Linked DNA regions of Arabidopsis thaliana. The protein of the gene in region 1 interacts with the protein of each later gene in a pairwise test. Each region holds a gene or a part of one and is shown on either strand. Other genes may lie near its edges.

Region 1 (7,158 bases):
AGCGTATAGAAAACATTCAGTTATAGATTCTAATGGAAAAATAAAAGTCAAGCTCATTACACTACAAAATCATTTCATCTTCCACATATTGAAAGCTGTTGATGCAGAGCCAAGAGTGGTCTGTTGAGTCACTCAGAAGACACCTTCATCTTTTTGGCAACAGTCTCTTCCTTATGCTTAAGCTTAGCGTCTTTCCGCTCTCTCTTCGATCCCTTAGATTTATCGAACAGTTTCATTTCTTTCAGCTGCACAAAGATCGAAAACATATCAGTTTGGGATGATAATAAAAATAATAATCTCCAGATTCGGATATTGGCGTTTATCGCTTTCTTTCTTACCTTCTGATCAGGCATATAAATCTTCCCAGTCTTCCCTAGTACTGCATCTTGATCAACGTTTTTCTCCTGTAGAAGAAGAGATTGATTGATTAGTCATCTGTCTCTTTCGATTTTAAGAGAAATATTAGACTTTTATGTTGTTTAGTACCTTCTTCTTAGGCTTATCCTTGGATGTTCTCATTGCTTCTTTCATTAAGCTATCGTTAGGAAGACGATTACGCCTGATAACCAAGTCCATGGATGGACCGACTTCAACAAGCTCCATTCTCGGAACAATGGATCCTGACTTTTTAAGCTTCAATGCGCAATGAGTAAGGAAAACCTTTGTTGGGGATATAGCTGAACATACGTAAGCGCGGTCTAAACCAGTAAGATTTAGATTATCCACAACCTGCAGACATATACAAATTCTGTTATAAGCCAAATCCATATAGAATCAGAATAAAATTGAAACTGGTTATGGAATTAGCTGCAAAAGTAGGTCATAAGAATCAAACACTTCACCTCGCCACGAAAAAGATCAGTGAGGACTTCTTTGAGATGCTTAAGCTCTGATACATTCTCAAAACCTTCACCAATAAAGCAAATGAAAGGCTTTGTTCCTTCATGAGGTGCGAATTTCTTGTCATACGAAAACGCCCGCAAGGATTTAAAGTTCTCAATCCCAACTTCTATAAGATCATAGACTTGGTGATCATACATTCTCCCAAGTACAAGATTGTCAGGTCGTTTCTTCGTGTGAGAACCATACTGCAATATAAAAACAATCACCAATGTTAGAACTCGCATCAAAGTTAATTTGCCAATACACCTTTCCAAATGACTTCTTAAGGCCTGTGATAACATCAGCCAATCATACCAATTTCCACCATAAATAAATACACATAGACTAACAAGACAGAAGCAGAGATGCCTTAGAATGAATCTAGATCACAGGATAGATCATCTTAATAACATTTTGTTCTATCTAGCAGTTCATAGCTAAGTTAAGAGGAGAATCAAAGTTGCAACACCATAAAACCAAGATGCAACAGCTGCCAAAGCTTATGAACTTACCACAAAAATGCTACAATCTGTTTTCTGAGAGAAGAACTCTAATGAAGTTTCACCTCCACTCTCGAAAGGCCTAATATTCTCATTCCTCCTTGAATATCTGATGGCACCTCCCTTCTTCAAACGGTAGAGTTCCGTCATTACAGAGCTAAGTGTAGCACTCGTCTTTGTTCCATGAAGTATCAACGTCTTCTTCCCAGTTTCAACCTACAAATTCCAAAAACAACCAATTCAGATACAAAGTTTGCAACTTTCAATCGATTCTTTGATAAATTTATCGACAAATAGAAAACCCATGAGTCTCATAGATGTCAAAACAACATTGAAGACAGCTCTCAACATGATTCACTTCTCGGTTTTAAGAAGGACGAAGGAGAAAAAGAAGAGAACTTTACCAACTTAGGAGCTCGGCTTTCGAGAACACGCTTGGCTTTGCCAGTCTTCGGAGTTCGTATTTCCATCATGACTCTGTTAAATCGCCGGAAAGTTTCACAAGCGACGGCTCCGAAAGAAGAGAGAAAGGTTTTTCGATTGATTGATATGGAGTCTAGGGTTTTAGTGCCTCCTCACAATTGGAAGCAACTTTAAGAGAATTCTAATATGACCCCTAACCTTATAAGTCTGTCCTAAATCACCCCACAGTTTTTTATTGACTATAAAACCCAATGTTTCACAAGGTCCATGAACTGTTTAAACTATACGGGCTCAAATTAAACAATGACAGCCCATGAACTTTTACACACAAAAAAGACATTTCATTGCGGTACAAAAAATTTACAAATTTTTATTTATGTTCACTTTTATATCCATGATGATGAAACTATACAAAACGAATAGAGAACATGAACATATTCCAAATTCGTTTCCATGTTATTATTCGAGTTGTTAAGGAGAAGAAACAACAAAACATTTTGATTGATGCTTCGTGTGAGATTTACAAGTTTCTCCCAATGGTACGATCAATGATCTTCACGCCTGACATTGTGCAATCGTAACTTGCTTCCCTGTTTTATAGAGAAGAAGGAAGATGCATGTAAGAGATATTTACATGGAACTGTCTTCTCCTCCACAACCACTTGCTTTTCATCCTCAAAAGGAAAAAAACTGGTCACTCACTACTGAATCAGACAGACAAAGTATCTCCAACTTAGATTCACCACAGAGATCTCAACCTAATAGTCTAGACCTCAAGATATTATAGTAAGGCATACCTTGCATAGACTTCTCGAGGTCTTGTAATTGTCTGATGAAACCAGCATTAGGACTTGCCACGGGTCTTTTGCTTTTAACATGTTGCAATGCTTGAGCTAAAGTCATACCGTGTTTCTTCATGAGGTAAGCAACAACTATAGTGACACTGCAAGTAAAAGGGACAAACCATCCAGGCTAAATATGTACTTAGTTTTGAATACTATCCAGCAAACAAGGCGAAAACCGCTAGATATTGAAGGAAGCAAACAAAACTGACCTCCGTGATTTGCCAACAAAGCAATGAACAAGAACACTACCGCCTTGTCTCTTGGCTTCATCAATGAAATCAACACACTCATCGAAGTACATTTCTAGATTTGTATCTTCCTTATCCACGACTATCACATAGAAAAACAATCAAACAAGCAATTCCATCCCAAAATCAAAAACATATTCTCTCTTCAACTAGATAACAAAGTGAAACCTTTAATAAGTTTATACCTCGAACAACCTTGTAAACAAAGTCATCAGGATGAGCTGGTCTCAACGAACTAGCAACAGTCAAAATATGTGTAACATTGTAAGATTTCAAAACATTCTTATTACTAGCTGCTGCAACAGATCCAAGATAAAGACCCTGAAAAAGTCAAATTCAACAAAAGGTTTGATCTTTGATAATGAATCATTGGTCATTTGGTTGGTAGAAAAAACCTATGAGTATTAGTAGTAGTAGTAACCTGTTCAATAAGGGAAGGGACATTGTCGTCTCTATAGGTACGAGCAACTTTAATAACACGAACAAGAGCTTGTATCTGATTCTTCACCTTTTCATTATACTTTTCTATTCCTGGTAACGAAGAAGATGACGAAGAAGAAGAAGGTGATCCTCTGTCTCTAGAACTCCTGATTTCATCGAATCAGAAAAAAGAAGAAGAGAGTTTACATATCAAGATCGTGATCATAGCAGCAAGAATCAAAATCAAAATCAAAATCCAGGTCACCGAAATAATGGAATCCGATTCTGATGAATGATCTTATAACCGAACAACGGTGAATCGAGAATTACGATTACAACGACGGAGTAGTGATTGGTTTAAGATCAAAAGAAGAATTCGATTATCAAGGAAGAAGAACTTACATTGGAAAAGAAGGAATACGAATTCGCCAAAGGAGAAAGAGATTTACAAAAAAAAAAAAACGAATCTTTGAAATGGGTTAAAGAGGAAATTGCAACTGCATGGTTCTCCAGGTTTTTTGGGGGAAGGAGGAGGAGGAGAGGGAAGGATGTGTTCAAAGAGGGCCAAATAGTAAAATTTCCTTTCTATCAGAAAAATCAGAAATGTTTTAACTTATTAGCTCAGTCCTTATATTATACTCAAAAATTTGTGTTTGGGATTTGTGCTTTGTAGGCTTGGTTTCCTGCTATTAGGCCCCCTGGATTAGTAAGAAGTAGTGTACTTGGCTGAAACTGAGGCAACGGTGTTGTGAATATGTCAGCAAAACTGTACAGAGGCAGAGATGTATCGAGTGATGATGATGTTGTTGTTAAAGACTGTTTGTTATTATGACGTAGTAGTAATCTACTTTAATGTTTTTTTCGAGGGCAGTAGAGCACAAATCTACTTCAATATAGTCCATCGAAGTTCGATATTTTACTTCGATAGACTATCTAATCAAAGCCGGTCTCGACGAGTTTCTCGGTTTCCATTTTGGTACGGTCTTTCCCATTCCTAGAAATTGTGCATGAACATGAAGTACTTCCTTGCTCACTTGATGCTGTCTTAGGCTTGTTTAGAAATAGGACCCTAATTGCTTTAAGAAATCTGACTAAAAAGTAATGGACAATGTACAAATGTACCCTCAGCACACCCTCTAAGCCCGGTCCTGGCACATATCGACGAGTTTGTCGGTTTCATTTTGGTATGGTTTGGTTTACCCACTCCTTGCTCACTTGTCTTAGGCTTGTTTAGAATTTGGGCTTATGGGCTTGGTTTGCTACGTCACCGTATACGTAACTTCGTCACCTCAAAAACTATGCGAGAAAGAGTGACTTAAGAAGCAACAAAAAGATAAACCAAAAACTATACGTTCTTCTTGTATGATGATGACGACATTGACTTTGAAACAGTGTTATCTAAAAACGATTTGATCGGAAATATCTAACAACGATTCAAGAAAACCAAATGAAATTTGCAATTTCCAAGTACAAATTCGAGAAATTGAGTAAACATAAACTTGGTAGAAGAAAGAAATTATTTTTCTAATTACAGATCGAAAGAAGATTCTTCAGAGCCAAGTAACAGAAACCAAGGAATTAGCAAGCCCAGATTGTTCAAAAGTAGTATTAGATCCAAAATAAAGATTCTTATAATCCCCAGGAAACCCTTGAATCAATTTAAAACGCCGCTTTCTCTCAGAAGATTCATCACCAATCTGCGAATAACAAAACGACCAAAGAAGCTGAACAGATTCACTCTTTAAGAAACTTCTCTGTATTCTTCTCCCATCTGGTAATCGAACGCAGATTCTGCACAAAACGCTTTGATCCATATCGCGATTCGGTTCTTCTGGTAAGTTAGGGAATCCGAATACCGCGTTTGATGAATTCGTCGTATTCTCGGTTTCTTCTGATTCTTCTTCAGAGAAGCGTTTCGGGCGTTTGATTCTTCGCAGAGACTCGATTTCCAGAGAGGCGACGTCTACGAACGGTGATAATTTCTCCATCATTGATTGACACTCGAGCATCGTTTTGATCGATGATTACGGAGAGATTTAGGTAAATTTCAAAACCCTAATTGTTTCATAGTTAGAGTGGATTTTTGTGGAATTTGTGAGCTTCTCGTTTATTTATAGAGACGAGACGATAGAGAGGAGCTATAAAGGTTTGTTTCCTTTTCCTTGAAAATAGAAAAATAGATTTATTAGTATTATTGTTTTTGTGTTAGTAGAATTGATTTTTGGAGATATTCTGCGGATTTTTTTTTGTTTCTATTTTCCTTTTTTTTTTTTGTGTAATTACAGATTTTGTTTTTGATAATTGTAAGTTTGTAATACAAATTTAATTATGAGAAATCTACATTGATTATGAATTGAGATTTTATTTGATTTCTCTAAAGAACCTAGTGACTTTCTTGAGCAATATCTTCTTGTTTTGGCAAGTTTTTTTTTTCTGTCCACATTTTTGCACGATTTTTAAGCAACAATATAAATAATATATGGATCAATTTCTTATACAATAAATTTATCGTATAATTTTGTCAATTACTAGTTTTCTTTTTTTTAGGTTTTTGTGTGTGGACAAACTCTCTTAAATCATTTTCATGTAATGATTTTGACTCTTATAAATTACTCTCATTTGACCCAAAAAAAAAAAAATTACTCAAGGTCTCAAGTCTCAACAATCAATAATTTTGCGTTTTGACTATCAAATTCATCAAGAAGAAGAAGAATTGATTATTTCTGTATATATGTACAATATCTTTTTTACTTCTTTAGTCGAAGAAGACATTGATTTCAATCAAAGTTTGTTTTGGTAACTTTTTTTGCTTACCACAAGAAGATGATGAGAAGGGTAACGTATCGTCAACATATAAAAATCATAAAACAATGATTAACAAAAGGTATCACAGAATCTCAGAGAATGCTTCAAAAGACTATAGAAAGTAGAAATTGAAACACCAACCAAGAGTTTTGCTTTGTCTCTCTTTAATTTTTATTCTTTGCATATATGAAGTAATAGACAATACCTTTCTTTCTTTCTCAAATCATTTGATGTAGGTCACAAACCAATCAAGCATCTCCTTGTGAGCTTCTTCTGCTGCTTTAACCGCCTCTGGTTCATCGATGTTGTATCTAACTGTCCATCCGTGTGACACTTTCGGGTGTATCTTCACGTAACTATTCACCTACAGGATCCGTTTTAAAGTTAGATAAAGGTGATTAAATTACACTGTTGAGTTGCGGTGATAAAGCAGCTTACCTCGGGTTTGGAAGATAGAATCTCCTCAAATTGCTTCAAGAGTGCTGGTGGGGACATTTGATCAATTTCAGCTCCTAATATAGCAATTGGAGCCTTCCCACCTGCAATAAACCCGTGAAATTGATAAGGATCATCAAAGACCGGTGAAAGTAAAGAAACCGGACCAATCACAGTGTTTTTTATGTTTGCAAATGTGAATTAGTATTCTTTACAGTAATAATGATAGTATCTAATCATGGCGAGATCAGTTACGCAATCCTATAGGTGACTCTAAATGTTACAACGCATTAGGCAAGGCATGACAACTAATGTTCCTTGGTTCTATGTGAGGAATCAAGATGGAAGTAGCAAAGTCACTAACCTTTGATATCATCAACATTGACAAAAGAAGGATGAAGCAACACAGCTGCTTGAATAAGCTCTTCTTTAGACAGTTCCACCACTACTTTTGCTGAAGATGAATAACACAAGAGAGAAAAGTACTATCCATTAGACAAAAAGAGAGCGTCACATCTCTTAGGCATAGATTTCTAACAAAAACTCACCACCCCAACACATCCCTGCGGCTCCAATGGCAGTTATGCCTTTGTTCTTTAT
Region 2 (8,543 bases), on another chromosome or scaffold:
TATTATCAAATCCAAATCACCTTATTCAGTTAAGCTTGCTTAGTATCAAAACTCGAAGAGTTGAGAAACAAAAGGGAATCTTCAGTCTCTATGAAACTATATCATTCTCAATAACGTGAAAAAGAAGAGGACACTCTCTAGTCTCTATGAAACAAAGGGACAGAGCCAGTGGGCCATTTTGTGTTCCTAGGAAATGCAAGCACACATAGTAGAGTAGAGACCTCTTCTACTATCTCCACACGCATAGAATCCACTATTTTCTCTCACTCATAAATACTTACATACAAATCAATCTCAAATACAAAATCACATTTCTCTTTTACCTTTTTTTATCTTTATGGAATGAAAGAACAGGTATGATGCCGAATGATATCAATGAATGCATCACTATATAAGTCTCTGTGTGTGTGTGTGTGACAAAGCTTATGAGACAGTTAAATTAGTGATGATCCAAAAACATGTGTGTGGGTCAGTTTCATTAATACCAATGAGTACGCAAACCCTATGATGTTTCTTGTTTTGGTACCAAAGAAAGTGTTCAAATCAATTAAAAGAACTATTTGGAACACATCTCTATCACATAAAAGATCAAATCTGACGTAACTTAAATTTAGATTTACCTTTTATACAATTATTTAATTTTGTATACCATATAAAACTATTTCGGGAACATATTAATGAACAAGTCAAAAGACTACAAGAGTCAATCTCCATATTAAATTTAAAATTTATTTTAAATTTGGAATTATAATAATAACTTTCTATCTTTGGGACTTTAAAAAAAAAAAAATTTGGGAACAAATTTACAATATTAGAAAAATATAATTGTGAAAATATCATAATTAATCGATTTTGATAATTTACCATATTTTAGAAACTAGAAACCGAAATTGTTACAAAACATTAATATTATGTACCAGTACTATACATACACACACACACACATATATATATATATATATATATATATATATATATATTCTAATTAGATTTTCATAATGATTCAATTTTAACTCAAACTTATTTAATACAAAATACGATACTGTAAATTGGGTATATGAGATATTTATTAGAAATTATGAAAAGAAAATAAAAGCTAATTTATTATAATTAAAATTTATTGTATTTCCATATTTTTTTGATTTGCGAGCGGACATAAAAAAAAAAAATTTTGCCAGCGTATGTCTTAATCAATTATTATATAAGAAAAATGAATCAGGTTAATTTTTTATTTATAGAACATAAATCAATGATATCCCATTTTGGGAGTTAATAAAAGTACATCATTTGGTTAGACTCACTTTAAGAGCTTCATTTCCCATTTTTTTTATTTCTTCATTCTCCACAATGACTAATGGAAGAAGTAATATCAATTTGTAAGTTCCTTAGATATTCTCAATTTTCTATTATCTATTTCACAATATCTATTAATGATTTTGATAAAATATATTAAGAAACTATATTATTTTCAATCTTTTAGCTTTCAGATTAGTTTGTTAGATTTTTTTTTTCTGTAATGATAAAGCATGAAATGAAAATCTTGTAAAGGATCATGATCAAAAGGTCTTTGCTCATTTTATATCAAATTGAATCAATTTTATTTTTGCTTAAAATATTTAAAGTTCAATAAAAATAGGTGAAGATAGATCTTTTTCAGACAAAATAAAATAAGATATAAATCTCTTTTCCACTATTCGACATTACGATTGCTTTATTCTATTTGATCCATTTCGAGTCATCATTTTTATACTCGAGTTTCATATAAATTATGTTTTCGCAAAATTCAGTTTTAATTTTGTTGAATTATAATGATAATTTATACTCCCTCAAATCCATAATATTTGATAATTTGTTAGAATTTTGATGTAAAGTTTTTTATTTAAATATATTAGATTTAGCATAGTCATGATTTTCTAAGATAATAAATTGTTTTTCTAACTGAAAACTATCCTTGTTTTCATATTTTGTAACAAATTATTAAATGTATAAAACTCGATGAATTATTGACCCGCAGGCAGACCAGGTCGATCAAGACATCTGGTGAACCAAAAAACTTTGAGCTCACAGGGGTAGTTGGGGAGGAGGATCAGCCACCCCGAGAAGCTTCTGAGCGCGGAGCCTTCGATGAGTCTAAGCTGGTTGACGTCAACATTGCCTTGAGCTGGGAAGCCTTTGAGGTGAAGCAAGGAACAGAGACAGTGCGTGAGTATTATAACGAGTTCCTTAAGAAGGTCAAGAACCTCGGAAGAGAGTTGGAGGAAGAGCAGCTGGCGTGTCTGTTCCAGGAAGGGCTACGCGAGGAGTTGCAGGAAGGGGTATGTGCAGCGAACTGCGGATGGATCCTTAATTATGTGTCAGATGTAGTTGATGAAGCTGAGAAGGTAGAGGCCAAACTTAGAAGCATCAAGGAAAAGGTGCCGCTCGTGTCTGAGGAGTTTGCAGATGTTGACTGCGGACAAAGCAATTTGGGCCGACCCGCATCCGAAGATGAGGTGGAGAGCAAACCCTCCAAATCCTATGATCCGGAAGACCATATCATGCAAGATTGAGATGGCTAGAGTCAACATAAGGTCTTGAGTCTTGTGGATTATGTTTCCTATTTTATATATCAAAAAGTTGCTATTACTACTTCCCTTTATTTACTTCGTACCATGTCATGCAAGATTCAAAGCTGTGTCAGTACCAAAATAATATTTTGCGAAGAAGAAGAAAAATCAAATGATGTTTCAGTACGGTTCGCAGAGATTCTCCATTTCGACGGTAACAGCACTCAATTCAATAGGTCATGTTGCTTTCTAGGTAAGTAGGAACCGTGCCAAGTTGATTCATTGATTCATGTAACTATACATGGGATGAATAAGCCATCTCTCTTGTTTACAATTCGAACCTTTTGGAACAAAAATATTCCTCAAAACAAACACAAAGATCCAAACAAAGTCGATAACTTCATTCAAATCAAATGCACGTATGCAATGAGTCATCAAATATGTTGATAATAAGAACATTTGACTAGAGTAATTCATTGCCTACAAAAGCTTATGTTCCCCTCCCCATATCCTAACGATTGCGGGTCCAACAAATCCCGATGCAGAAGAAAAGGAAAAGCAGAAAGCATATGAATTGTAAGTTATTGAGATTGACGGGAAGAGAAGAGAGCACCATTCATTGTTCCTTTTTGCTACTGATTTCCAATGGCTGAAAGAAGTACGGAATCATTCTGACGGGTCTTCGAGCTTACCGGTAGACAAATCATTAATGTGCGGATACACTGCTTTCTCGTCCAGTTGAGTTTGAGCCCAAATCAACATCTTCAACAAGCTTGGAAGTTTAGGATCTGTTTGTTCACAAACATTGAGTTGCTACATTAACCATGGAGGAAAATGGAAAGTTTCAAGAAGAACTTGGATGATACATGTTGTGGGTGAAGTAATGAATGAAAAATTTTACTTGTTATGTAGAGAAGAGTTGCATATACTTTGAATCTTAAGATTGATAATGAATGATGCTCGAGATTATAATGGTATTTTGTGGCTACTAAAAGACAACCAGTATAACATCAAAATTCAAAAGCTACCTTTTTCGTGGCTCTGGCTTGTAAGAATCGCTGCATTTACTTCACTTGCTGTCTTAAGACGGTGGGAAAGATCAAGAAGCTCTTTAACCGGGCAGGTAGAGGCATCGTCAAAAACAAGTAGGGCTACAGTTTTTTCCAATTCTTCCAGAAACGCTTGCTGCAGAGAGATATAACAGACTGTATGAATGAAGTTTCAGCAACAACAGATATTACACACAGTCAATGAGCAATACACATGGAAAACACCATCTTTAACGACAGAAATCAAAGTGAAATACAAAGACTTACGTTTTCTTCGCCACGTGGTGCAAGTTCCTCCTGAGCAAACTCTAAGGCCTCTTCTGTCTTCCCTTGTCGAATTAATTCTATCAACCTTTGCTGCTGAAGATGAAAAAAGAGCTCCGGATTCGTGTCTAGTATCTGCAAGCATGGGTTCAAAGAAGAATCAGATTTTGCTTCTTTATTACATCAGAAAAGTGAATGACTACTCTCCACACAAGATATGAAGAAGCATTGTACCTCAGGATTCAAATCATTAACTTTTTCAATCGCATCCTCGACATTTCCGTTTTGAACAGCCTTTTTAACAGCCATTCGATCAGTAATGGTCGCAAGATCTATCTCTGCTGTTTCTCGATAAGGAAGTTCAAAAGGAGTAGATAAGCTAAACATCAAACACACCAATTCCATAAACAAAAACTCAAAACCAGAATCAGAAAAAGGATACGTTTGGTTCCAGACTCCCTTTGGAATTTCTCAGCAGCTTCAACATATCCTTCAGTCACAAGAAAATTCATCACCAAAGTATTCATATCTTCTTTCCTAAGCTTCACAGCATTTAGTTTCTTCTCCCATTCTTCACGTGTGATCATTTTCTTCGAAGTAGCCTGCGACAAGCCACGATTAAAACTAGGTCACACAACGTGCATAAAGATTAAAGTTTTCCAAAAACCCATCATCAAGTTGTATCAAATAACACAAAGAACAGACTCATAAGAGGAGTCAAAATTACCATATCTTCGTCGTCTTCTTCAAGCTGATTGATAAAAATACGAAACAGTGACATTAGAACGCCAGTGAGGCTCTCATATCTTGAAATCTAATCTAATCCACTCAATACGAAATTAATACCTGTTCGAGCAACACTCCGATCAGAGCTATTTCCAAAAGAAATTGACTTTGTGATCAGATAGTGATACAAAGTAATTTAGGGCTTTAGTCAAAATTCAAGCTTTAATCTCAAAACAGCACAGGAGTGGTAGTTCTAAGAAAGAGAGAGTGTGCGACTATTTTCCTCAAAAATTGAATATAACGATGTACCTGGAGAAGTGGAGAATCTGGGGAAGATTATCTGGGAACGATTCTTGCAAATAATCCGGAGATTTGGCGATCGATTTGCTTCTAGATTGCTTGCGAAAGTCTCTTCCCTAAATTTACAATCTGATAAAACAAAAAAAAGTTGGAGGTTTTCGATAGAGAAGAAGAGATCGGGTTTAAATTATTAGGATGTTGACGAACCGTCGATGAATAATCCGGTTTAAATTATTAAGGGAACCGGTTTGTTTTTGGATTTGGTTCTTTATATACCGGATAGTATTATGTAACTCATTTCCAAATGATTTTAATACCCAAAGATTTTTAAACTATTTTACCTTTGAAGAACAAAATTTCGATTTAAAATCATAATTTTTTTTTATTTTTTTTTTTAAATCTTGGAGGTTGTGGGTCAAAGTCCGTAATCCCCCAGGCCTGAAACCACAGCATAAAATATTAGTTTCGTCCCAAGCGTCACTCGAACCGGCGACCTCTAAGCTTTGCATAAGGTCTTTACCAATTGAGCTAACGACACTTGGTTAAAATCATAATTAAATAAGACTGATGTTAAAAATCTCTATATTATTTGGAATTTGATACACAATTTAAAACCAATAACTGATACTCTATTATACTCTATTAAAATCAACTATTAGGTAACAAATATGTGACATAAACATTTTGCAGTCCGATGCAAAATATATCTTTCAATCTCAACAATATGTTTTTTCTTGGTCAACAATCTAACAATATGTTTAATTGCATCTTCAAACTAAAGTCCCAAAACATGTTTTGTTCTTTGCACATGGTTGTTTGTGTGGAACCACAATAAGACAAAGGATCGATTGCAGAATTTGAGGTCTTCTAGCTAGTTGACCGACTAAGAATCAATGGACCACTTATTCTTTAATATTATTTTTCCCAACTGGTTTGGAAGGACTTAGTGAAGAAGTTACACTAAAACTTCTCGAGTCAATCCTCATATGGTTTCTTTTGGCAATTCCTATCTCTGCAAAATCAAAGGCTCTTCATATCAATTAATATGGCAAGCAACTACTTTGAGACATGGCAAGAACGGAATTGTTGATCACATAATAAGCAAGCTCTTTCTCATCAAACTACCTACAAAGTTTTGCGCTCTACAAGATATTTGATCAATCATAAAAATGGTGATCTCGTATAATACTAGTCTTCTTTTAGGGCTAACAAATGATTCAGAAGATTACAAATGTGCTTTGTAGAAATTAGCAATATAGTGCTTTGTAGAATTTTATGACCACAAGATTGGTAAGATCATTTAGTCAAATATATGTTTTATCTCTTCTTATTGATTGAGATGATTATTTTTCTAATGAGTCGATCCACATGTCTAATTCCAATTGATCTTTGTGATTTAGTTTCATATTTGTTTTCTTTAACATATGAAATTTTTTTGTTAGTGTAGAAAATCTAATTTTCACACAATTAAAAATAATTTTTACAATAAATTATGATTAGCAAACACTTCAAAAAAATCTCCATTACTTAAACACTTCAGTTTCCTACTACTAATTAAAGTTGTTTCCTTTTGTTTAAATTGTGATTTTGCTTTAACAATAAAGATGACGGCGCATAAAATATAATTATATATAATCATGCATTATTAAATAATGAAAAAATGGAAAAAAATGAAAGAAAAAGAAAAACAAATGTTCGACCGTTCCTTATTTAAAGCCGGAAGTCCCATAGCCTTGTGGTGTTTACTTTTTCCAATTCGGAGAAAGCCAAAAGAGAGAACAAGGCAATAAAAAGAAGCCACCGTCGCTACAAAAAGTCGCGATTTTTATTTTCTCTATCCCAACTGCTCTCTACCTTTCCTCGAAAATTCCTTCAAAACCCAATTCTCAAGCCTTCTTCTTCGTCGTACCTGAAAATTCTACAATCTCTGGATCTACGCGTCTACTTCTGAATTTCGATTTGGGTTTCCCGGGAGCTGAAATTCCGTGACTTTTGGGTTTTCTGATTTAGGGTTTGTTCCTCTTCTCGTTCTTTCTCGGGTTAGTTTTTTTTTTTTTTTTTTGTGATTTTTGATGGGTGAGGAAGGTTCAATGTTTGGTCTGGGAGGTGAATTTCCGGTTGATGATTGTGATGGTGGTTTTGAGTTTGAAGATGATGACGAGACTATTGACATCGAAACGCTTTATCGGATTCTAGATGAGAAGCCTGATTCTGCTGAGGTAGTTTTCTCGGCTTTTGTGGTAGCTTGAGAATTTTGATTACACGCTTCTCTAACTTCAATTTCATCGTTTTGATTTAGCTGAATTTCATTGCATTATTTGAATGCTGCTACAAAGATGTTTGGATTTGTATTTTGTTATAAAGTTTATGTATGTGTGATTTCACAATTCTGTAGCTACACTAATCTCTAATTGACTATTTTTTTCGATAGAGAAGAAACTAACATTGAGAGTGACTACTTTTAGGGTAGCCAAGAAAACTTATCACCAGTTGGTTCATCTGCTGACGAGCTCAAGGATTCACAGTTGCTAAATGGTTAGTAGTTGTTGGAAAGGGTGCCTTGTTACATAGTCATTTAGTATTTATTGAGCTGTTTGAGGTACATCGTATTAACATCGCTTGGATTTTTTTTGTTGTGCCAGGTTCATTTGATGAACATGTGAAAATGGAAGCCGGGCTGAGTCCTTCACCTGCTCATACTTGCTCTGCAAGTCTTAAAGATTGGTTTTCGTTAAGTCAGGGTGAGCAGCCTGTGGAAACATGTGGAGTATCTCAATCTGAGATGACTAGTTGTAGTATATCGTCTAGTTTCTCTGATCCTGATGGCAATATGATGGCCTTCAATCCTGTGAATTGTGACGTTGACACTGTTTCCAAGCAGGATGATAAGATAATCGATTCCAAATGTATGCACCTTATCTACTAAATGTCAGGTTATTTTTTTTTTTAAAAGTTTGACACTAATCTATCTGTTGCTAATTTCCATATTCCTCATTTTTTGTTACATCAAATTGCAGCTATGTTGACTCCATATTTTGACAACGTGACTGGATACGGAGTGGGGTTGGGAGCCAATCATAATTCGTCTGCCATGTCTGTTTTTTTTAATAATTCCAATTCCCTCAGTGACAGTGCGGATAACTATGTCTCTTCTGCACAAGATTGCTACAATACAAGTGGTACATCCTTGTCAGACCATACCCCCAATTCTGTTCAGAATTTCGCGTTTGAGTTCTTTCCTAATAAAGAAGAAGCTGTAAATGATGTTGAGAGTGGAGTAAGTGAGTCTCAGTCGGATGGTGCCAGCCGGATGATTTTTGATAGACATGGAAGAGTGGATAATGGATCTTTAGAAAGGAAACCTCCTATTGATTTTTCTAGTGCAAGAGGGATCAGTTTCAAGTTTGAAAGTAATCCTTCAGTTTCTCCTGCCTGTGTCAAACCCTACAACAGTTTTGACAGTCATTTAGCTGATAGTGACCTTGACCGGCCTAATAATTATTCATGCAGTTTTCAGGATAATAAAACTGTTCATGTGAAGGTTAAACCAGAGGCTGAATCAGAGAAAGTTGTCTACAGTTCAGTTCCAGGGGAATTTAGTGTCAGGGATGATGCTTATCTTTCTGGAGAAACCAATCGTTGGTGGTCTGGTGCATCA
Region 3 (6,742 bases), on another chromosome or scaffold:
GGTCTCGTGGTTCCTTTTTAGTATCTAAATATAACATAAACAACTTGTGGGAAAAACAGATACTAATTGACAACAAACAACACTACAAGATCATGGGAAGGAACATAGATATGATCTCTCTCATTAAGCTCTATGTCGAGGACGGGAAGATCGTTCGACATGAAGACTGGTAATAACCCTGCAGCTAACCTTTCTCATAAACGCTGACTTTTTGTATTAGTTCATTGCCTTAACTTGTTGGTGAATGGTGTGTATAAGGTGGGACAAGAAACCTCTGAGGAACAGAGACACGGTTAGCTTTCCATTAGTCGGACGGGTAATGGAGATGGGTCGAAGAGGCTTGATGCTAGCGACTCATGCCATGATGGGTTTTGGTAAAGATCCTGACTCCCAATGAACAAATGGAAAATACAAAACACACATCATGTTATAGTGTTCAGTTTCTTCAAAACACTACTTGAATTTAAGAAACTCCTTTAATCGATTTGGTTTCGAATTTAGTTTAAAAATATGTAATACAGTATGTTAATCGTCTGTTGGTTTTTAGTCTGGTACGATACAGTCAATAACTGAATTTGAATGGAAAATTCTTGTAGTTGAACAAACTTGAACCATACTGATTTTGGTTAGCTTTTGGGTTTGAATTATCCTAAATCAAAATAAACCGACGTGGGGCCGGATCGAAGAACCTCCCTCAAATGGGCCTTCACTGTCAAATCTAAAGTATCCATTTACTTTTGGTCTCGTGCTTGACGTAATGTATTTAGATATTAGATTTTGTGCATGTACTGTGTTTGGGCCCCTGTTATATACTTGTAGAAGACGAAAAATGACTCTGGTTTTTGTAAGTACCGTAGAAACAAAGAAAACAAGCTGTGTAAAAGTAACTGTTAGACGCTATGTTTGTGACAGACACAGTTCTGTGTTTTTATTTGTTACAAATATTTGGCTATAGTTTTTCTGTACTCTTGAAAAACTCCAAATTGTATACTATCTCGTATATATTTGAGGACCAGCCCTATGTTATATGTGTTTCCTATAGAAAAATCAATTTTGTGAAATTGAGGAGGAATGAGAACATGCATAGCTCTAAAATTATGAAAAGAAAGGAAACAAAACAAAACAAACAAAACAAAAACAAATAAACGTCGTCGTCTAGGTTGGTCCCAAAATTAAATGTAGAGTAATAAATGAAAAGAGATAAGAGAGAAGTGAGTAGGTCTATGATGTTGGGATTCACAGGGCCTGTGTGTGTGTGACCACTGACCACAGCACCATTGCTCATCTCATGTTACTCCATTCACTTCACAATACAAAATACAAATTACAAATCTCTTTTGTAACATTTCAATTCAAACGTTACTATAGACCAACATTCTCTTTTAATGCACCCTCGTAAATACACTATCCTTTTCTGTATTTTTAAAACTTGAATCTCATAAGTTCATGACAATTACATTTATACATACACTACGGGTGTTTCTATTACGCTTATTTTCAAGATTTTAACTCCAGCATGGATATCACAAAAAGGGTTTTGCTAAATATCTTACGTGATGATGCTTTTAAGAGTCAAATCAATAAATAAAATCTCTATGTTATTAATGTTAATACATGAATTATCCGAGCATGATATTTAATGAGTCTTACAGTTTATGTTAGTGTAGTAGTCCTTGTGTAACCATCGAAAATTCGTAATACCAAATTTTATTTGGGGAAAAAAAATGTAAGGTCCAATATTTGTGACAAAAAAATTTTTAATATGGATGCCAAAGGAGCTACATGCCTACATCTAATGAGAAAGGCTATATAATATGCCTGCAAAAAAAATGAGAAATTATAATTCTATGTCCTTTAAAACCTAAAAAAGAAGTAAAAAATAAAGAGCTTAAATAAAAAGAAGTATCACAGAATTTATTCTTATGTATATTTCCTTTTAAAATGGGGCTGTTATACAAAATTTCTCTGAATCTGTTGGCATAAACTTCGCTGAGTTTCATGAATTTTGGGGGAAAAATAGTGTAACTTTCGAGTTATGACAAAAGGCACTGTTATACACATAAATCAACAATAATGGCTCTAAAAATATTTTTGATATATATTTAATGGTTCTTTTTCCTCTAACCACTAATTACTTTTTACAAAATCCAAAAAGGGTTAATTAATCTAAACAAAACCGGAGATTAAAAAATTTAAAACCGAATCTTAAGCCTTTTTTTATTTTTAACAGCTCCGTCTCTCTTCCTCTTGAATCTCCGTCTGACCTTGAGATAACGAATAAACCGGCGACGACGGCAAAGACGAAACGGCGGTTGAATAACGAGCCGAATCCGATACCGAAGCCGACGTTATTCCGGCGCCGGAATCAGAGAGTCCAGAGAGAAGATCAACAAAAGCACTGACGATAACGCCGTGACTCTTCCTCCCATTCATCCTCAAATACCAAGCGAGCATCGATTCCAAGCTCTCCCAATCTTTAGCCAACTCACCGTGACTCGTCACCATCTCCTCCATCGATCGCCGGAAATCACCGTACGGATCCTCGGATTCCATCGCCACCGCGACACTAATCTCCTCAATCGGCGTACTCCGATCTTCTCCCACCGCAACCGTTTCCTTCGATTTCAAATCCGATTTCGATTTCTCTTCAATCTCTTCCAGAATCGAACTCGTAACTCCTGGATCGAAGAATAACCGCTCCGATCTAACAACGCCACGAACCACCATCTCTAAGGACTCAGCGTCAAGGTCTTGATCCGACTCGGTTGAGTGACTCGCTGTCTCGGACGAGTTAGTAAACCATGACTCAGGCGTCTCCGCTTCCAACAAATCTCCTCCATTGTTGTTGTTGTGGTGGTGGTCGAAGAAAACAGAGTTCACCGTCTTGATCATGTCGTCGCCGACTCGGAACGAAAGAGTTTTGGCATTGTAACAGAGAGGAACCGCTAGTAATCCTCCGGCTCCGCCTTTGAACAGAGAAGAGAGTTTCATCTTCTTCTTCCCCATTGATACCACCAATTGTTTTTTTCTTTGTGAAGATCTTTGGTTGGGTTTGGGTTTAGTAATTAATGGAAGAGGAAGGAGTTGGAGGGAATGCGATATATGGGGAGAGAAGAGAGAGCTGGTGGGGTCAGGTCATGTGTCTATTTAATTTTGGGATATTTTTCTATTTGTTGTTAATTTTCCATTTTTTTCTGGTTAGTTATTTGAAGTGCTTTTACTTATTTAGTCTAAAGTCTTAACTATAAAAATTACGATGATTGAAGTTGATAGTTTGTTTTTGTTTTGCTTTGTGGTTAGCTTTTTCGATTCGTTTTCTGTTCAACCGGGATTTCAATAGTTTTTTCCAATATTTGATTTGCTACAATCCAAATTTTTAATATTGGTTTTTTCTACACTATTCGATCTAATAATTGATCAATTTTACAAAAATGTTTTTATAATGGAGATATATTATTTTTACAAATAGTTTATTGCTACATTTTACAATAATGTTTTTGTCGTTGTGATTTTATTGATATACACATGAGTGGAAGAATTATGTTTTTTACAAATATTTTGCTGTTTTGAAAAATTGACAATCTTCTTGTGTGACGAAAACACTTATCCTCATGCAGTTTACATATTATTAGCTCCATGGGTTGTTATTGCCTTGTTGGAGAGGTTGAATTTGTATTTTTTAACTAACAAAAGTTTCATGCAAACACGATATAATGGCTCTATGGGAATTTGAATTTTTATTTTGTCTTTGTTATCTAAATTTAAGATGATAATATTATACTCATGAACAAGTATAGTAAGACACAGCAGTAGCATTCAATTTGGTTGAAGACAAGAAAAATTAAATATTTTAATTAAAATAAAATAAAATAATACTAGAAAAAATGTTAGTCCCGAGCCAATGACAAAGCACTGTGCAGAACACAAAGCATTAAAAACGATTGCTTACAAGAAAATGTTGCAGAAAAACAAATCCCAATAAACATTTAGTAATTTTATATACTACTACTACTTTATAAAGGTTGATTGACGGTACTACATTCTTGTCTATTGGCTCGTCTTGTCAAATCTTCTTCTCATTTTTAATTACTCTCTCTTTACGACTTTAATAGTGTTTTACATCTTAATTAATTTGTTTAATTTTTTTAAAACTGATGTATAAGCTATTTTGTATTATATAATCCATAAACGAACACGTAAAAATCGTACTGATGCAGTCAGTTTTGACTTTCCTATAAGCACTGTGAGCTTCTAATACTCTCGGTCAACGTGTTATCTATAAATTACGTATGTGTAAATTATATGAAGCTTTGAGCTTAAAGAATGTTTCTTCTTGGTCGCAATACAAATTTCTAAAAGTAAGAATTGTAATTCAACTGAATAATTAAACTCGATGAACATCAGTTTCTTGAATATATATTTAAAAATAATTTATTTCGTTTAATTTTTTTTGAGGAATTGAAGTCTTATATTCGAAGAAGGACTATGTTATATGTATGTTTTTAATTAATGATGAATTTCTTGGACGATTTTCTTTACTAAGGTAAAATATATGATCCATCAAGGTAGAACAAGAATGTAGGGGATAGATCCTGAGACAGTGTCCTTTAGGAATCAGTCAATATTATAGAGTTTATCAGAGATATAAAACTGAAAGTAGTAAAAGATTTAAACAGAAGCAATCTGATGTTGAAACCCATTGTTGTGAAATAAATGCATCATTATTTTCGTACATTTTCAACTTTATTTACCCAACACCTCCATATCTTTCTCTTTTGCAAAAATTTCCTGTTTTGCCTTAATTTGCGTAAGATATTGGATCAACGTTTGTGGGATAAATATGGGAACATAGAATAAGAAAAAGAGAGAGAAAGATTGTGTGCAAAACTCATGTGAGGAATTAAAGAGGGCACCGTTGAATCACGCATATATTAACTGTGGATTTCCATCTTCTACTACTAGATCTTTAGTTAGGGGACCAAATTTACAAAAGTACAGTATATTCCTCTCTATGGTTTAAATTTTTAAATACATTAGACTATATATAAATTACATTTTTTCATTTACAGTACTTTGAATACTCTACAGTGTTCATGATAGACTATTCAACTTGTAACGTGTTTGCAAATGAAGATGTCTAAAAATAAAGTTTATAACATGCAATATTTGGAATACTCTACAGTGTTCCTACATCTTTTTAATTTTATGTTCAAATACGACATTTTTGCCATATTATCCTTTTAAATTTGCTCCCTATTTATACAGTTGATTAACAAAAAGTTATTTGAATACTCTTACTTGGTTTTATGAAACTGTTCACAATTTCAACAATTCAACGAAAACCGAAATTATAATACATGAACATCTTGGACATGCCTCTTTTATCCCCTTGCTAAAGACCGACATTAGTATAATTATTCTACTTGAGTTTTAACTGTGTAAGAAATAATAAATGCCAAGCACAGTTGTAAGAAATCTTAGAAGTAACTTCTCAACAACTTCCACGGTGATTTAAACTTTTTTTGTTTTTTATCCATTACTAAATAAAGTATTTTAAGAAATTTACCTCAAATATTTTTGATGTTGATATTTACTAACTTTTAAGTTGGTAGATTTGATAAATGGTCAATATTGTGCTTAGAATTTGTTTACATTTTGTTTAGCTTCAGTATTTATTTGCATTATCATTAGTAGCTAGAGAACTCAAGATAAATGCATTTTGTTTCGTGGAAGTGTCCAAGGTTTTATGAGAAAAATGCTACCTTTTTCAAGCTTCGAAACATGAGATTGTATTGATGTTTATTTTTCTTTCAAGACATAGTAATTGACCTAAAGCTTTTCGGGCAGGGTTCACTTGTTCGTAGAATAGATCGATGCTTTCCGAACCCACTAAACTTTAGACGACATCATCCCGATTCACTGGAATATCCCCTATGATTTATTTGGTTCTGTGATTTTTTAAAAAATCACTTACAAACAATCTTGTTTTAAATGATTGTTGATTTAAGAAGAAAACCTACATAAAAACTAAAAGAAAATATAAATTTGATAAAAGTCATAATTATATTTACTAATGGTTTGCTATATATGATAGAGGAGTAACAAATCTCAGCACTTTGGTAACATAAAACCTACAAAAGAGATACGAATATTGTGCTCGTGCGACCAAGTGATACGTATGTCGGACTTTGTACCATTTGGTACTAATCATAGAGACATACTAAAATGTTTTCTTTTTATTAAAACATAATTCTTCTCTAAAGTATCCAAACACATAAGTCTTTCTTCTACTAATTACTATCTTCTCCATCAGCACAGAAAATTAAAGGATTGAGCTAAACCAGTTAATAGATAGAATCATTAGTGTGGGTTGGTACAAAAAGGTTATAATTAGTTTGGTTGGTTAAAAGTTTTCATTATATGACTGTTCGGATACTAATATACTATAGTATATCTTATTATACCTATTATCAAACAACTCATATGATTCTACGGAGTTTACTAATTAAAAACTAAAATTTTGTTGAATAATCATCGAGCTTACTATTATAAAAGATAGGAATAATATTTGAAAAAAAAAAAGAACAAGGAAAAGTACAATCATCAAGTGTTAGTTGATTTAAAAATATGATTATCAAGATTGCATGAAAAGAGCATTACTCGAAATCATCGAGCAACAGGCAAAGCCAGCAATGCATGGAACAACATGTACCCCGTTGACCCTCATGATTACTTATTTAGC

Evidence for each region. The genes of interacting proteins can lie anywhere in the genome.
Region 2: the proteins of DSPTP1 (region 1) and AT1G61150 interact in binary tests that used the Arabidopsis thaliana proteins (3 or more experiments, as listed by UniProt).
Region 3: the proteins of DSPTP1 (region 1) and OFP13 interact in binary tests that used the Arabidopsis thaliana proteins (3 or more experiments, as listed by UniProt).

What each region holds. Positions count from the first base shown.
Region 1 is NC_003074.8:8,474,844-8,482,001, reverse strand, and holds DSPTP1 (dual specificity protein phosphatase 1), read right to left. Parts: upstream 3,881-7,158; 5' UTR 3,723-3,880; coding exon 3,721-3,722; intron 3,486-3,720; coding exon 3,320-3,485; intron 3,220-3,319; coding exon 3,084-3,219; intron 2,981-3,083; coding exon 2,860-2,980; coding exon of another isoform or gene 2,829-2,859; exon of another isoform or gene 2,749-2,828; coding exon 2,603-2,748; coding exon of another isoform or gene 2,559-2,602; exon of another isoform or gene 2,510-2,558; coding exon of another isoform or gene 2,481-2,509; exon of another isoform or gene 2,467-2,480; coding exon 2,351-2,466; 3' UTR 2,161-2,350; downstream 1-2,160. Other genes in the region: AT3G23620 (Ribosomal RNA processing Brix domain protein), read right to left, coding at 129-245, 339-404, 487-729, 843-1,088, 1,395-1,598, 1,787-1,855; AT3G23605 (Ubiquitin-like superfamily protein), read right to left, coding at 4,869-5,327; AT3G23600 (alpha/beta-Hydrolases superfamily protein), read right to left, coding at 6,347-6,487, 6,562-6,662, 6,923-7,012, 7,107-7,158. UniProt on the Arabidopsis thaliana protein: Has a dual specificity toward Ser/Thr and Tyr-containing proteins. Dephosphorylates MPK4 in vitro.
Region 2 is NC_003070.9:22,539,025-22,547,567, reverse strand, and holds AT1G61150 (LisH and RanBPM domains containing protein), read right to left. Parts: upstream 5,072-8,543; 5' UTR 4,895-5,071; exon of another isoform or gene 4,706-4,894; 5' UTR 4,641-4,705; coding exon 4,587-4,640; intron 4,462-4,586; coding exon 4,302-4,461; exon of another isoform or gene 4,265-4,301; coding exon of another isoform or gene 4,201-4,264; coding exon 4,094-4,200; intron 3,995-4,093; coding exon 3,863-3,994; intron 3,732-3,862; coding exon 3,575-3,731; intron 3,335-3,574; coding exon 3,213-3,334; 3' UTR 2,550-3,212; coding exon of another isoform or gene 2,015-2,549; 3' UTR 1,907-2,014; downstream 1-1,906. Other genes in the region: AT1G61160 (retrotransposon gag), read left to right, coding at 1,348-1,376, 2,015-2,549; EDA16 (SNF2 domain-containing protein / helicase domain-containing protein / zinc finger protein-like protein), read left to right, coding at 6,958-7,104, 7,351-7,420, 7,528-7,791, 7,903-8,543.
Region 3 is NC_003076.8:1,395,949-1,402,690, reverse strand, and holds OFP13 (ovate family protein 13), read right to left. Parts: upstream 3,297-6,742; 5' UTR 3,007-3,296; coding exon 2,224-3,006; 3' UTR 1,907-2,223; downstream 1-1,906. Other genes in the region: AT5G04830 (Nuclear transport factor 2 (NTF2) family protein), read left to right, coding at 60-169, 259-397. UniProt on the Arabidopsis thaliana protein: Transcriptional repressor that regulates multiple aspects of plant growth and development through the regulation of BEL1-LIKE (BLH) and KNOX TALE (KNAT) homeodomain transcription factors.